3 linked regions of the Caenorhabditis elegans genome follow. The protein of the gene in region 1 interacts with the protein of each later gene in a biochemical or structural test. Each region holds a gene or a part of one and is shown on either strand. Other genes may lie near its edges.

Region 1 (4,608 bases):
TACCAAAAGATAATTATGTAAATCTGAAATTTTTTGTTAATGAACAAAAAAATTAATGCAAACTTTTTTTTCTGTAAAGTTGACCAAATTCATTTTGACATTTTAACTGTGGGGTAGCGGTGGTGGGAATTTGATGCAAATAAACTGATGAAAAAATTTAAAATCACTCAAAATCATTATAAATTTTATGAAAGTATTTAGATTTTGAAAATGTTTAAATCTTGGTTAAATGCCAAATTGACTTAAAGCTGTGGCTCTTTGAAAAATTTTCAGCGTTTTCGCGTGGTTGTACCTGGTTCTACTATGTATATATGCAAATACAAGTAATTGAAATAAATGTTTTTCCGAAAAGTAGTACTATGGCATTTGGTCATGTTAGAAATATATGAAGGTTTTAAACAACTTCCCAACCGGCGATACCTTCAAGTAAGTGATTAAAAAAGTAGCTAGTAATACAGAGCTAAAAGGGCTAAAAAGGCTATTGGAAAGAAAAACTCGTAAATTTAAGATCTTCAATTTCAAAAGTACACAAATATCTCATTCAAAAAAAAAGACTTCATTCTCCGATTTTACGAAAACTCATTTTTCTAGATGCGCCCGAAACATCCATCACTTGGCTTTTCAGATTCTTCCCATCTTTTCTTCGATTTTAGTTGAAAAGCTGAGGGCTCATTCGATTTCGTTCAAACTCCAATTAAACGATTTTCCGATTCAAATCGATCATTGAACGGACATGAGAGAATTATGTAGTCTCGTTCTCATCCCATATATTCAGTTCCTTTTTCATTTCTTTTGTTTTCTCTCCATTGCCCGCATATCCAGTCAGTCTCGCCAATTTCCATTGCTCCAAATTTCCTGCTATTATTCATAGTATACGCCATTTTCGATTCGGTTTTTCACTAAACAACGAAGAGGAGAAGAAGGTCCCTCCTTTTATTGACTTTTCGTTAAATACTCTGAAACGTGTCATCAACCTTATAATTTCTCATGTTTCATTTGAGTCCATTTTGCATTTGAAATGTTTTATGAGATGTCATCTGTCTCTTTTGTGTCACTATAACAACATATTCTAGATTGAGATTCTTATTCTCTTGTTTTTTTTGTTTCATTCTGTTTTAAACGCTGTTTCATATCCTCTCCATTGTAGAAATAGAGGTTTGGCTATTAAAAACTGTAATTGAAAAATAAATGGCATTGTTTTCCTTTTCAATAACCGTTAAATTACCTTTTAAAGGTGGATGAATTCCGTTTCAAATGTGGGGTAGTATAAATGGAGGATTTTTTAAACACTAGAAATTGTCCAAACTCCGAAATATCATCAAAAACGAACAAATTCAGAAAGAATGAAAAGTTAAACTTTTGAAAACTTGTTTTTTTTAATTCGGCAAAAATTGTCTTTTTGAATTTTCTTTAAAATGAGATGCCACGCCCACCTTCAGACCAAACTTCTAACTTCGTCGCACACTTCGTCTGATTGGCTCTTACTGAAAATTATTGAAAACTATTTTTTGAATAAATGTTTTCAATTATAATTCAAACATATGACACTTCTATTGCTTCAAATTAAATATGTACAGAGTTATGCTCATATCCACAAGTTTAAAGTTCTTGACAATGTTAACATCCAACGGATTCGGTGGCACCAATCCACCAAAAGGTATGTTTGGTAATAAAGGAAGGGTCAATGTTCATTTGGATATATGTCACCCTTATAAATAAATAACGTTGTGCTCATTATTGTTGACTGACCCCCAATAATGTGTGAATAAAAATGAAAGCAGACTTCCGGAAGAACAATAAAATTTATATTTCATTTCAGGAATGCCATATCCACCAACCTACCTTTACACAGAAGAACCACAAAACGAATGTTGCTGCTGTTGGTTATGCAGATTACTGTGTTGTTGTTCTCCAGTCGATCAGGTATCTCACTCATCAGTTTCTTTTCTTTTTATTTATTTATTTCTGTTGTGCATGGCAGGCGGTCGGAAAAAAAAGTGGGGAAACTCGATTGCCGTAGTTCTTGAGAAATTCAATTTCGATGGTGTCTAATCTTCTCGCATCAGTGCACTCTTTCCCTTAAAAGAGGAGAAAAAGAAGAACTACTTTCGGCTCGAACATCCCGACAAACCTTTTTCCCCTCAGCTTCTCAATACCCAATTCCTATGTTTCTTCTCGTGTATCCATAGAATCAGTTGCCACGGTATAAATCTTTATGCGTTTTGTTACTACTACCTTCGTTTTTTCTTCTTTTCCTGTTTTCTCACTTATATTTATTTTTCTACAAACATGTATTGTTGGAAAACTCAAAATCCTGATGAAGGTGAACAGGTAAAGTAAAAAAATGTTTTAATTTCTGAAATATGGTTTTTGATGTGTCTTATGAAAGTTGTTGAACTTGAAAGCTGAACGAAGACTGGAAAAGGAACAGTTGTAAAAAATTCCAAAATGTTGTGTATATATTTAAGGAGATCCTAATACCACATTTAAATTTCGAACTAAATCTAGAATTCTTTCATTACAACAAAACAAAGTGTTTTAATCAGTTTCTTTATAATGGTTAAATATAATAGGACACAATGAATTGAAAATCATTGCCATAAGTTTGAAAACTTTCAATTAACCACACATATATATATTAATTAATATGTATGTCTTAGAAAGTGTTTCAATGTGATTCAAGTTCTAATATATATTCTCATTCGTCTTCTATGGTAATCCTTGATGTGGGTACATTTTAAATATAATAATGAGAAGTCTTTGCGGAAGAAGACGAAGAGGGTCGATGTCGTTTGGTGTGAGCTGAACTTGATTCGAAATCTACGGGGGGGGGGACGTCGTTTTGTGCATGAGCAACGAAAGAGCATGTCTCCCAGAGAGTGACTCAACAGCGGCTACTACTATGGGAAACAAGAGGAGAGATGGAGAAGTATAAAGAAGAGGACGAAGAAGAAGCTAGTAGCCGTTGGCTCAACTTGGTCCGCTCTATCTCCCTCTGCGTATCACAAATTTCTATGCCGTCTATCTGAACTGCGCGGAGACGAGAGAGCAACGGCGACTTGTGTGTGTATATGTGTGTGCCCACTCGAAACTAAAAGGAAACGAGATCGATAGACGGATGGCGACGAGGCCACCGACGAAGCTCCGACGAAGAAGGAGAAGCCGTCGTCGCCATCACCAGTCTCTTCCTTCTCCATTCCATCGCCGTTTTCTTCTTCTTCTACTTCTTCCCTCATTTCTTTTTTCTATTCCACTAAGTTTTAGACACCGCAAGTAGCAGTAGCAAAAGGGCGTCGGGAGCTCACTGATTTCTTTCTTTTTTCTAGTCCCCCTCTTCTGCTCTATTTTTTTGAATGAATGCACACTCGGACTTCAAGTCCCCCGTGAGAACATTAGCTAATCCCTGAATTTTTTGGGTTAAGTGAAAATGTTCGAGTGGGGGTAAAGTGTTTTGAACCTAGATTATGAAGACACACCAGAATAAATTGATGTAAACGTCTTGTGAACTATTATAATCTAGAAGTATGCTGGAAAATTTGAAGTTGATATACATACATATAAAATAATATCCTGTATATTTTCTAATTTAAATTCCTTGAACATTATGAACAACTAATATAAAATTAAAAAAAAACTGTTCTCAAAGTATGATAAAAATGGTGATTTCCTATTAAATTTGTACCCATATTGCTCTACTCTGACGGCTTGTATCTCGAATGCCTTTGGTTTTATTAACAAAAAGACATCAAAATAAAGATCTGAACATTCTTTTGTGAAAGATAATCAACTTTTATCAACTATTCACACAACCCTTTTTTCTCGAAGAAACTCAAAAAAATGTATTTAAAGTCGAATAAAATTTCATAACTTTATTGCTAGATCCATTCACTTTTAACGACTTTCTGTTGTCTCTCACACTTATAGCGGTTTTATTTGCGTTTCTGAAAGTGAAACCATTTGAGTATTCGAGTATACCCGCGTATTTGTTTTCGAAATTCATCCTGGACACAAAACAACAGCTTTTCCATCTGCTTCCTGAAATTATTAGTTCTCTCACTCTCCATTCAACTCTCTCTCATTCATTTCCTTTTTCTGCGCTATTCGTGAATAACATCATTGCTCCTTTCATTCAGGAACTTCTATCTGCCGGTTTTCTTTTTGATAAACCAAAAAGTTTTGGGAGATTGCAGGACTAGCCACGCGAAAAAGGACCCATTAATTTTTGTGTGTAGTTTTAGGACTCTCTATCTCTCTATCTCTCCATCTTCCTCTATTTCTACTTTCAATGTCCTTTCTAACCCAAAGCATTCATTGCTCGGACTCTGGACCGCCCGTTGTGCCTTCATGTGCATGTAAGGGGTACGCCAACCACCCCCACCAAAACTCTTTCGTGTTTTAAAACATTAAGTGTTCAATAACGTTGCCACTATTAATCAATTTATTTATTTAACGTTCTATTTTTCAGACCGCCTCACGCAGTCGCATGAATGCCAGTCAACCGCCTCCCGGTGAGTCTTTGAATTTTTGTTAGACGATTTAAGAAAATATAGGTTCTCAGCAGAAAATACCCATTAAATTAAATTTTGAACATGGTATTTTTTCAGGAGG
Region 2 (7,578 bases), on another chromosome or scaffold:
AGGGACTACAAACTACAATTTTCTTAGCCTCAACCAGTTTTGCGTTAGTTTTTGGTGTTTTAGGATTGAAAAAGTGAGTTATAAGCTTAATACATTGCAGTTTTTAGTCATTTTCATATAAAAAAATTGCAGAAAAATCAGTTTTTTGGTCGAAAATGTTTTGGGTGAGGCTAACAGACTACAAACTACAATTTTTCTAGCCTCAACCAATTTTTTTCGTAAAAATTGAAGGTTATTATCGTAAAAAGTTAATAAATATCATGAAATAGCCGTTTTTACTCATTTTTATACAAAAAATTGGGGAAAACCGTTTTTTTTTTGGTCGAAAATGTTTTGGGTGAGGCTAACAGACTACAAACTACAATTTTTTTAGCCTCAACGAATTTTTTAATACGATTTTCAACTGAAAATTAGGTTTTTTAATAGTATAAATTAATTTTTAAGCGAAAATTGAATAAAATCCTATTTAAAATGATTGCGGTTTGTAGTTTGTAGTCTGTGAGCCTCAACCAAACGAATTTTCGTCCTATTGGCTGAAATTTGATGATTTTTCATGTTTTCAGGGCAAAAATTGTTAGAATCGGGGTTTTTTATCAGTACCATTTCACTTTGGCCATCCTCATCATCTTCGTGATCCTCTATTTCTTCCGGATGCTCAGATTTTGGAGAAATTACTCGATTTTCCACGATTTCTTGTGAAAATTCTGGATTTCTAGGATGAAAATGTGATAAATTCGAATAATGAGCTTGTTGCACAGATTGCGGGGGCGAATATTGATTTTTCGGTGAACAATTTTGAGGCACATTTTGCGAATTATTGTCGTAGACCAGCTCATATTCGTCGGTTTTCTGCTCCGCAAACATATTTCTCATTGTAGTGAGCACTTTTGGTCCATCTTCGTCTGATGTGTAGTTTGAGGAACAGGAAATATCCTGAAAAATTGGAAAAAAAAAGTGATTTTGCAGAAATTTTCGGGGAAAAACCTCTATTCCACTTTGTAAATTGAAGTCATCGCCGAAAAGCATGTAGTTTGGACAGGAAAAATCCTGTTTTCTTTCTGTCATCTGAAAAAAAAGCAAATTTAAATTTAAATTATTCAAAAAACAACTATTATCGTTGAAAATTGCTGCTAAAAATTAAATTAAATTAAATTAAATTAACCTACCGTAGCCATTAAAGGCGCATGCTGTGTTCCCTCGAATGGGTTTCTACACGAAATTGGAAAACGTCGGATTTCGGCAGGAATTCTGGAATTTAAAATCACTTTTCTCCAAAAATTAAATATATCGATTCATTTTCTTCACATTACAAACAAAAAAACACGTTCAAGTATCTGAAAATCACACAGAAAGCCGCCGTCAATAAAATTCGGTGGCCGCGTGGCCGTGGACTAGGTTTCGTGTAAAGGAACGGCCATCGACATTTTTTCGATTTAATTCTATTTTAGAATATTTTCAGCGCATTTTTAAAGCTTTTAAATAGAAAATCTAGCTGAAAATTTCGAATTTTTGTTAAAAAATGCTAGTTTCCACCTTTTTCCTCCCAAAAAAAACCAATAAGATCGATATTTCCTGCAGAAAATCACAAAACGAGGGAAATGGAAGATTGGACCAACTATCATCAGGCACAGCCGGCGGAAAGTGGTATGGCGTTGTGATTTTATTGAAAAATTGAATTTAAAATCGAAAAATTTGGCAAAAAAACACGAAAAAATCGATTTTTTTCGAGATTTTCGCGAAATTTTTTTAAATTTATTTAAAAATTAATTTTCGTCTATTTTCCAGTCGACTGGGCCCAGCTGGCCCAACAATGGATGGCGATGCGCGACACAGACGATCGTCGAGCCGGAAATTCACACGATTTCGCTCAAAATCATCAGCTCCCGTGGCATCAGCCACGTCATCCGGGCCCTCCGGCTCATCAGGATTGGGGCGATTGGTCCGCGAATCGGGACGAGCAGTGGAGAGGGCCGCCTGGGCCTTCTGGGCCGTCCGGGCCCCCCGTATATCATAATCAAGGCCCGCCTCGTGGATATCCACCACCACCGCCACAGGGAGCAGACACGTGGCGTGGAGCTCCTCCACCAGCTCACCACGGACACTTTGGACCGCCTGGACATCATTTCCAAGGCCCACCACAACATTTTCCGCCAGGGCCACCAAGGCCGCACTTTCCAGGCCCCCCAGGCCCACATAGACCTCCAGAGCACTACCCAGGGCCTCCAAGACCTCAGGCTCCAGCGGCACCACCACCGAAAAGCCTATTCCCGTCGGCCCAAAAGCCTAAGCCACTTTTTGCGGCGGCTTCAAGTGCTCCAAGCTTCTTCGGAGCACCTCAACGTCCACCACCGCAGCTGCACTTTTTCCAGGAGAGCCCCTCGGTCCAGCACGATTTTCAGCAGCCCGATTTCCAGCCCGATTTCCAGCCCGAAAACTACCAAAATTCCCCGGAACCCCCGGCCCAAGCTGGCCCGAAAGGTGTGCCTCCACCGGCTCCACTAATGGCTTCAGGGCCCACAAACCCGTATGCAATGAACAAAGAGGCCCGGAAAAAACTGCCGGCCTGGATCCTGGAAGGCCTTGAAAAGGCCGAACGGGAGAAGCAAAAGCAGTGGGAAAAAGAGGAAAAGCTGAAGAAAGCGGAAGAAGAAAAAGCCCGGCGAAGAGCCGAAGCTGGAAAGAGCAAATTTGACTCTTCGTCGGATGAAGAGAGCCCGGAAAATGAGAAATTTCCTGTTGGTAATGGAAAATCTGAATATCAGGAAGATGATAATGATTCGGAAGACGATTTGGAGGAGAGACGAGAGCAATTTGTACGGGAAATTCTAAATTCCTGAAATTTCCGCAAAAAAAAACCTAAAAACTACAAAAAATTTGAGAAAAAACGAAGATATTCTAAATTTTTAGAGGAAATTTTTCAAAATTTGAGAAAAAAAACCAATTTTTTGAAAAAAAAAATCCAGCTTTGTAGTTTATAGTCTCTCAGCCTCAACCAATATTTTTGGTTGAGGCTCACACACTACAAACTACAAAAAATTTTGAGAAAAAACCAAAAATTTGTCGAAGATTTTCTGAATTTTTAGAGAAAATTGCTAAAAAAATCGAGAAAAAACCGACGAAATTTGATCAATTTTTGTTGGTTCAGGCTCATGCTCAGACACTACAAACTACAATTTTCGGGTAGCCTCACCAAAATTATATTTTGAACAAAAAAATCAATTTTACAATGAAATTTTTGTATTTCGAGGAAAAATCGTTTCTTTTTTTACTTTTATTTCAAAAAAATGTTGAAAATTTGAAAATTTTAGCCGGCTAGACTACAAACTACAGAAATTTTTTTTTTTAAATTGTATTTTCCCAAGATTTTCTGAATTTTCCAGTGTAACTCCTAAATCCTAAAAATAATTCCTATAAAACACCGAGTTTTTGATAAAATTTCAAAAAATCTATTGGTTGAGGCTATGACAATTTGTAGTTTGTAGCCTCTCAGCCTCAACCAATATTTTGGTTGAGACTCACACACTACAAACTACAATTTTCGGGTAGCCTCACCAAAATTAAATTTTGAAAAAAAAATAAATTTTTCAATACAACTTTTGAATTTCGGCAAAAAAATCGTTTTTTTTTTCATTTTTAATTCAAAAAAGTTTAAAATTTTAGACATTTTAGTAGACATTGGCGTTTTTGATGCCAGCTAGACTACAAACTACATGAATTTAAAAAAAAAAAACAATTTTCCCTAGGTTTTCTCAATTTTTCAGCGTAAACCATAAAAATTCCAATAAAAAACCCAGTTTTTGATAAAATTTACAAAAAAAACATTGTTGAGGCTATATGACAATTTGTAGTTTGTAGTCTCAACCAATTCAAAAATTGGTCGAGGCTCAGACTACAAACTACAATTTTTAAGACAGCCTCACAGAAATTTAAATTTTCAAAAATTCAATTTTTTCAAGATTTTTTAAAAAATTTTCTAAAAAGTTTTGAAATTCGGGTAAAAAAAATTTTTTTGTTTCAAAAATTTTATAATTTTGATGCCCGCTAGACTACAAACTACAAAAATTTCGAAAACAAACCTTAAAATCTTCCCAAGATTTTCAGAATTTTTCAGTCAAAACCTTTAAAAATGCAATAAAAACCGAATTTTTGATAAAATTTCAAAAAATCTATTGGTTGAGGCTCGCGTTTTTGGAGGCTGTTAGACTACAAACTACAGAACTTTTGAAAAAAAAAAATTGAATTAAAAATTAAAAAAGGTCCATTAAGTGGAGAAAAACCTCTTAAAAATTTCAAAAAAAAAATTTTCGAAATTTTTTTTCCAGATACGCTGTGTGAAAACTCTAATGATGAACGTGCTCCTCGAGTCTTCGAATGACGTCATCATGCGTATAATACAAGAAGAGCTCCGTGAGCACGAAAAACTTCAATTTGAACGGAAAAAATTGGCAACTGCGCCGAAAATCATCGGCAACAGCTCAGCGTTGGCGGCTCTCGCGGCTTTTGGTATGGAGAAGCTCGCGAAAATTCGAAATTCGGAAAAAACAATTTTTTTGACCAGAAAATTCGGTTTTAAAAGTTTTTTCCAAGTTTTTAATTTAAAAAAAACCGAAAACTTTAACATTTTTGAAATTTTCTTCCAAAAAGCTATGAAAATCGTATAATTTTTCATAAAAAATTCATAAATTGTTCCAATTTTTCGACGAAATTTTTTTAAACAAAAAAAATTCGATTTTATCGAGTTTTTTGAGCTAAAATTTCAAAAAGTTTTTTAAAAATTGATTTAAAAAATTCGAAAAACGAAAATTTTCAACATTGTCTTCAAAAGTTTCACATTTTTTAAAAACTTTTTTCTAAAATTTTCGAATTTTCCATATTTTTTTTAAATTTAAAACAGTTACAATTTTGAAACAAATCGAATTTTCTGGTTGAAAAATTTGAGATTTTCCGAAAAAAAAAGTAAAATTTTTGATTTTTAAATCGAATTTTTCAAAAAAAAATAGCGAAAATTTAGATTTCCAGAAAATTTTAATTTTATATAAAAATTGTGTTCAAAAAGTTCCTGAAAAGCTCTTCTTTTTCCTAAAAATTCAAATTTTTCAGAAAAAGTTTTCAAAAAAACATTTTTTTTTTTTGGAAAAAATCGGTTTTCAGAAGCTTTTTTAATTAAATATTCGTTATAAAAAACGATTTTCGAACAATGTACCAAAAAAGAATTTTTAGTTTAAAAATTTCAATTTTTTCGATTAAAAATTCCATAAAATGTGAATTTTCAATTTCTCGAAAATTGTAAAACTAAAATTCAAATAAAAAAAGCCTTTTTTTGCAAAAAAAAAGTTGAGTTTTCAGTTAAAAAAAAAAACGTTTTTTAGAGCTAAAATGTCATATTTTTTGAAATTTTATTTCAAAAAATTCAAATTTTTCAAATTTTCCAGGAGACGGTGAGGATAGTGACAACAGCAGTGACGATGGAGTTGGCGACGACATGGAGCCACGGCAGGAGAGCAGTGGCTCGGCGGAGCTAAATGGAGCATCAGGGGCAGCAGAAGCAGGAACACCAGAAGCTGGTGGTGGAGAGTTCAAGGCTCCCGTGGGTATCCCTCGAAAGTTTAGTGTTAAGACAGATGATGTCAAACCATCAGTTAATGATGATGGTGAAGGTGTTGATGATTTACACGTTCCAGGTAAGGTAAACTAATGAAAAATATAAAAATATATTCACTTTTTGTTGAAAAAAATACCATTTTTGCTAATTTTTTCCCCGATTTTAGCGTCAAAAATGTGTTTTTCTGTAGTTTGTAGTCTATTAAAGCGCGAATTTTCAGCCAAAAAACTTCAAAAACCTACTGGAAATCCACTTTTTTGAATTAAAAATTCAAAAATTTCAGGAAAATCTGCAAAAAAAAAATGTTTTTTCAATATTTGTGTGAGGCTATGTTATTTTGTAGTTTGTAGTCTCAGCCTCAACCAATTTTTGAAATAATTGAGGCGCGCTGGAGACTACAAACTACAAGTTTTCTTCACAATTTTCACTTTTTTCCGCCAAATTTGAACTGAAATTTTTTGGGATTTTGGGACATTTGGGATTTTGGATTTTTGGGACAGAATGGTTTTGTAGTTTGTAGTCTCGGAGCGCCAATTTTCAGCCAAAAAAAATAATATTTTATTCCAAAAAACCCACTGGAATTCCACTTTTTTTGGATTAAAAATTCAGAAATTTTCGGAAAATCTGAAAAATTTTGAAAATTCAGTTAAAACCGCTTCTAGAACTCGAAAAATCTATTTTTTAAATCCAAAAAAAAATCTGAACATTCCTGAACATTTGGTGAGGCTTTGCTCATTTTGTAGTTTGTAGTCTGTGAGCCTCAACCAATTTTTGAAATAGTTGAGGCCGGAGACTACAAACTACAAGTTTTCTTCACTTTAGCAGAGATTTTTCGGGAAAATCTCACTTTTTATCTAAAAAATTTCAAAAATTCTTTTCTTTTTTCAATAAAATCTCTGAAAATCCAAATAAAAATCCAAAAAATTTTTTTTTTCTAATTTTGTAGTTTGTAGTCTGTGAGCCTCAACCAATTTTTGAATTGGTTGAGGCTACAAACTACACATATTTCCCAGCCTCAACCTAGATTTCTTCATATTTTACTCATTTTTTAAAGAATACAAATGAAAAGTGTGAATTTTTGAAATTTTCACTCGCAAACGTGTAGTTTGTAGTCAAAATATTGGGATTTTACTATTTTGGGTTAGGCTAAGCTGATTTTGTAGTTTGTAGTCTTCGGCTAAATATTTAGAAATTTCCTTTCAAAAAGTCTGTAGTTTGTAGTTTGAACCTTGATTGAGGCTGATGTGATTTTGTAGTTTGTAGTCATTCTCTAGACTACATAGAACTACACAATCTACACACAAAATTCCGGAAATAATATTCAAATTTTCAGATTCAAAAAACGGCGATAATAAAAAATCGGAAAAATCGTCGTCGGAAAAGAAGAGAGAACGAGAGATGAGAGACGATGAGAAGGAGAGAAAATCGAGTAAAAAGAGCAAAAAACGATCGAAAAGTCGTGAAAAAGAGCAATCTTCATCACGACATAATCACCGATCGAGAAGCCGATCTTCGGAACGGGATCGCCGTCGAAAACGGTCGAGAAGTTCGGAACGTCGGAGGGATCGGGGGGACAGGGATCGGCATAGTCGACGTTGATTTTTATTGATTTTAACGATAAATTATTGATTTTTCCGATTTTTACCGCCGATTTTTTCCACCAATTTCTTGCTCCAAATTCTCATTGTTCAAAGCCGCCCGTTTTTCTGGAAAACTCCCAAAAAATTATTTTTTTGTATTACCTATGATGACATTTTCCCATTGATTTTTTTTTGCTTAATGTATTTTGAAGTTTTGTTTTTTCGTTTTTGGTTTCAGCATATTTCAGAATCGCACAATAAATTCTAATTTCGCGCCTGAATTTTTGGAAAAATAACTAAAATTTGAATTTCCCGCTAAAATATTAAAAATAATTTGAAGTTCGCGCCAAATTTTTTGTTTTGAAAATTCGAATTTCCCGCTGAAATATTTAAAAT
Region 3 (4,936 bases), on another chromosome or scaffold:
TTCTATATCTCACGGCGTTCTATTGTAGATGGGAGAGAGCGTGGGAGACGCAGACGACGAGACACTCTGCGTCTCCCCTTCCTCCACGCTCTCTAGGTCCCCATCTCAAGCCCCGTATCTCGAGAACGGTGATAGCTATTAAAAAGTTGTCAACTGATAGATAAATGTGTAAAATTTTGAGAAGAATAATTTTTGGGTTAGAAAATTTTTTAAAGGATTATTGTTGATGGAACTTTTTTTTTCAAAAAGTTCTAATCAGCAAAACAACGTAAAAATACACTTTTCACCTTAAATGTTTCTGCAATAAATATTAAATCTCTTCAATCCCCAGATTTTCCTACTTTTCCTGCGTCTCTCCAATCTCTTCTGGTTCAATGCCAAAAGCTCAACTACTCGACGCACTCCCTAAAAGAGAGTTTGAGAAAGACAATGGAGACGCAGAGAAAAGCTCTTTTCGGACTCTCACCACCCCTTTTTCTCTATCTTTTTGCCAAAAACGTAGTACTATGGACCACCGAAATTGAAGGGGGGAGAGACCTTTGCGCAAGTCGTTTTATTTTTTCTCTTTTTTTTGCTTTTGTTTTATTAATAGGCGTTTACAGTGTGGAGAGTGGGTGAGGAGGCAGAGAAGACAGTCTCGTTGTCTGCGTCTCTCTGCTGTATATATGTATCTGGAACGGTTAGAGCTTAGAAAATAGAGTAACAGAGAAAAAAGATCAGAATGTTGAAAAATCCCAATATACTTTTTTTTCTTTTTTCAAAAAAACCCCTGTCCTCCAATAAATCGTAACGTTTGCAATTTTCCGTTCCATTTGTCATCATTGAACATTGAAAGAAACACAAAAAAAACGCACTGAGCGTACTGTTTTCGTCTTTTCTATCCCTTTTCCCCGACACTTTTCTCTCAATTCCCTACAATTTTTGTGTCTTGGCGTCAGAGTCAAGAGTTTTGCCTTTTTTTTAAAGTTTTCTAGTATGGAAAATTTAAGAAAACATATGTAAGATTGCTGAATAATAATTTAAAAAAATCGAAAAAAATGTTTTTCGAATAGAAAACCAAATTTCTCACTTTACTATCTTTAACCGTTCCAGAGATACACGCATTTTAGAGCATAGTGCGGTGAGAGCGTGGTGGAGGGTGAGACGCAGTCGACGAGACAACCTGCGTCTCCCCCTCCTCCACACACTTTGCACTCCTCAACTTTGAACCCCTATATCTCTAGAATGGTAATAGCTACCAAAAAGGTTCCAACAGACAAAATGTGCGAAATTTTGTGCTTAACAGTTTGTTAGTTAAAATGTTTTTGTTAGCCGTTTTAGTTTTGAAGTTATACTCAGTTTTCTGAGGCGGTACCGAAACTTTTCTGGATTTTTCCGTACAAATTAAGAATAAACATATTCTGTTAATTGGGGAAATTATTATTCAAAAATTTAACCAAGACTCCGCCACTACAGTCCCCCTCCCCTCTCCTCTGTTTTCTTCATGCTTATCCGCGCGCAATCCGCCTCCCCTTCCTTTCTCTAACTCCTCTTACTCTCTCATTCCTTCTCCCTGTTTGTCAAACCATCTAGGTCTCTTCTTCGTCTCTTTATCTCTCGGCTCTCTTGCTTTTTGGCTCTTTCTCTCCTCTCCGCGCACCCCGCGCATACATTGACTTACACAAGACATTTGCTGCTTCCGGCCGGACTTTTTGAACGATTTTTTTTGGTTTTTGGGTTATTGATAGTGGAAAATTTGTATTCTGAAATTAGGAGTGAAAAGTTTAGCGGGAAATTTGAGTATATTTTGAGAATAAATTTCGAAAAATAAAAATTGAAAGTTGTTTTTTTTTCAAAATTTCCAAATTTAACCAATATTTCCTCATATTGTTTTAATATAATTTTTCTCCTAACTTTTTTCTCTTCTCCTCAATTCTCAAAAACTTCAAAATTTCAGTCAAAAACTGGATCGAGGCGGCGGCGGGTGGTACGGTAACGGCTTGGACGCCGAGTGGTCCTACAACGAACACGTACCCGGACCATCAAACTACCCGGAGCAGTACAATATGGCACCTGGTGAGTTTTTAGAAGATTGCAAATTTTTGCAAATTAAACAAATTTCGCTCAAAAAAAATTTTTTTTGATTTTTTTTTCGCCAGAAAAGCATGAATATCTCAAAAACTGAAAACTCTATTAAAAAATTTATGACTAACTAATTGTAGATCACAAAATTTCACACAGTTTGTTAGTTGATAACTTTCTCATATCTCCAAAACTCGCAGAGTTATGCCAATTTTTGCAAAGCTTGTTAAAATTCCAAATTTCAGTGTGCTCCAATGTTTAACCGAGGAGGTTTTTGCTAAAAATGTGCAATCTCTTGAAAAAAAAAGTGTGTTGATAAAAATTTGGAAAGAACATTTCAAATTTCCCGCCAATCGCAAAATGTAAGGGCGCTCTAATGCAAAAAGAGTTGAAGCGTTTCGTTAAATTTGGCACAACCTTTTTGAAAAATTCTACAACAAGTGCGCTCCAAAAAGAATTTTCCAATTTTTCGTTTCAGGTCCCGCACCATACAGCAGCCGAACATCGGTGATGAATTCCAGTGGCCGAAACCCGATGAATTATCCATCAGTCCCACCCCATACATCCATATCCGCCGCGTCGAGGCGCCCACTGCAACGGTGAGTAGCTTTTTTAGGGATAAACTGAGGAAAATTTAAGACCAAGCACAAATTTTCTGTCTCCCAACGGGCCTACAGCCTGCCCCTCGAAGACCAACTACTCTCGAGGCCTACCTAAGAACCATCCAATTCCAGGCAACACCGCTCGATGGACGGCCTTGGTGTCCTGGACGCCTACAAAGACTCCCTAGACTACGATATGATGCTCCAGCCGTCTCCACCGAAACCTCTACATCAGCCATCATACCTTCCATTGGAGATATCCACAAGTCAACATCACCATCCACCACATCACCACCCAACACAGTTCCAGCGTGGGCAATCGCTGGCGTTATCGAATCCGATTCCCACGCAGAATGCGTTCTGGCAGCATAATAATAGGTTAGTTAGGGGTGCCGGGTATTCGGGGAGGTCGACAGCTTCTAAAGTCGCCGGGTTGTCGGTAAGGCTGCCTGGTAGACAAAAAGTAGTCAGTGTGCTTGTCATTAGGGATGCCAGGATCCTAAGAGCCTTTAGTGTTGTCTAATTTGTATTGGTTGCCCATCAGAAGCCAGTGGCGTTGTCAATTTCCTGACTTGGTTGCCGCCTAAACTAGATCCCAGTTTCTATAGTGCTTGTCGGACAGGACCCTGCCGTCTTCTAAATCATCCATTAGGGCTTTTACCTTTCTTCCTATACCGTTTCTTCCTCCCCCTCCAGTTAACACACCACAAACGACACAAATCTACGGCTCCAAGACCCCACCCTAACCTAATTTAATTTGCGGGGGGGGGGGGGGTGGTGCTGGTGGACCCTCCGAAAACCAACATTTTTTAGTTTTTGTTCTTTCAGTTGAATTTCCTCCAATTTTTAAAGAATTTGCGGGTTTTTGCTGCTCCTCATCTCTCATGGGAGTATAATATGCATGTATATATATATATTTTTTTGCACACATTGACTGCTGCTGACGTTCTCTTCCGAAAAAAAATTGGGGGCTCAAAACAGATGAATTTTAAGTGGGGTGGGGGAGCTCTGGAGATTCAAATAATATTATGTAATTTTACTTTGAACTGTTATATCGTCGAGGAGGTTAGAGGTACAAAAAAATTTTCCACTAACAAATTATGCTGTTTTTAATTTTGAGCATTTTGTTAGTTGACAAAAACTCGTATCGTTAAAGGCAATAAAGTTAGATCCGAAACAGCCTCTGCCTTTTCACTTGCCTTGCCTACCTGGGATGATACGATGGTCTTCAATCCCTCTTATCTCCTAGGTAAGAATAGATACAAAAATGTAGTCAACATGGAAACTGTGCAGTTTTTAATTTTGAGCATGTTTCCAGTTTACAACAAATTTTTATGTTTTTTTAAATGTTTAATAGCTAAAAAGTTATAGCGTTTGAAGGGCAACACCCAGGGCCAGAGCATCGGTAGAAACTTGTGTAATATTACACGCGGAAGACTTTTTTCCTCAATTTTCCAATATTTCAGCATGGCCACCACATCAGTCCAAGACTACGACCTAATGCAACCAGGCATATCCCGAATCCCCACCGGCACTGGAAGTGGCCTGAACATCGCGAGAGAGTACGAGCAGCTGAAAGTCGAATACGACACAATGATGGAGAAGCTAAATCAGACTATGAATAGTATCAAAACGTTTTGGAGTCCCGAGTTAAAGGTAATAGAGCTACCGTAGTGTATGATTAGCTATGTGAAATTGTTCCAGAGGGAGAGGCAAATGCGGCGTGATGAAGCCACTCGGATAGCGCAGCTGGAGAGGATGGTTCAGTCGGGAGGAGGTGGCGGTAATGACTACGGCCTAGGTTCTAGCGAAGGTAATTTAGGTGTTTTTTTTAAAATAAGCTTCAAAGCCTGCAATTAAATTAAGTTAATTTAAACGCTTGTTAACCCCAAGCGGATGACAAGTTAAAACAAAAGGGTCCCAGGAGTTCAATGTTTCTGAAAAGGTCAAGATCTTGGTTCGAATGAAACCAACACCTTAGAAGCAGAACAACGCCCTTAAGATCCTAAAAACATAAAATCCTCTGCTACCAGGGTCATGGACTTTTTAGGCTACCGTCAAGTAAGCCTTGGCTGTGCTTTACCCCTTACCGATTAAATCTGTAAGGCTCTAGGGTACCCATGTTTTTGTAGGTTTCCTTATGGTTAGGGCCACCTGGCCTAGGAATCTCTTACACAGTCTTCATTCTTTCAGCGCTACAACTCCGAATGGAACTCCGAGAACGCGACGAACGCATTCGCCAACTCACCACAGCTTTAGAATCCGGCTCCGGT

The links. Proteins that work in one complex are often made in the same cells at the same time.
Region 2: of the proteins of syd-1 (region 1) and rsy-1, one has a biochemical effect on the other in vitro, tested with the Caenorhabditis elegans proteins (one study listed by BioGRID).
Region 3: of the proteins of syd-1 (region 1) and elks-1, one has a biochemical effect on the other in vitro, tested with the Caenorhabditis elegans proteins (one study listed by BioGRID).

The regions. Positions count from the first base shown.
Region 1 is NC_003280.10:7,591,882-7,596,489, reverse strand, and holds the start of syd-1 (Rho GTPase-activating protein syd-1), read left to right. Parts: upstream 1-1,577; 5' UTR 1,578-1,581; coding exon 1,582-1,657; intron 1,658-1,819; coding exon 1,820-1,923; intron 1,924-2,902; exon of another isoform or gene 2,903-3,181; intron 3,182-4,249; exon of another isoform or gene 4,250-4,395; intron 4,396-4,465; coding exon 4,466-4,508; intron 4,509-4,604; coding exon 4,605-4,608.
Region 2 is NC_003279.8:11,215,996-11,223,573, reverse strand, and holds rsy-1 (Arginine/serine-rich protein PNISR), read left to right. Parts: upstream 1-1,578; 5' UTR 1,579-1,598; coding exon 1,599-1,644; intron 1,645-1,785; coding exon 1,786-2,813; intron 2,814-4,322; coding exon 4,323-4,503; intron 4,504-5,432; coding exon 5,433-5,681; intron 5,682-6,935; coding exon 6,936-7,201; 3' UTR 7,202-7,397; downstream 7,398-7,578. Other genes in the region: Y53H1A.2 (C2H2-type domain-containing protein), read right to left, coding at 601-933, 985-1,065, 1,167-1,175.
Region 3 is NC_003282.8:3,347,028-3,351,963, reverse strand, and holds the start of elks-1 (ELKS/RAB6-interacting/CAST family member 2), read left to right. Parts: upstream 1-1,936; 5' UTR 1,937-2,045; coding exon 2,046-2,055; intron 2,056-2,539; coding exon 2,540-2,660; intron 2,661-2,795; coding exon 2,796-3,041; intron 3,042-4,129; coding exon 4,130-4,319; intron 4,320-4,367; coding exon 4,368-4,476; intron 4,477-4,856; coding exon 4,857-4,936.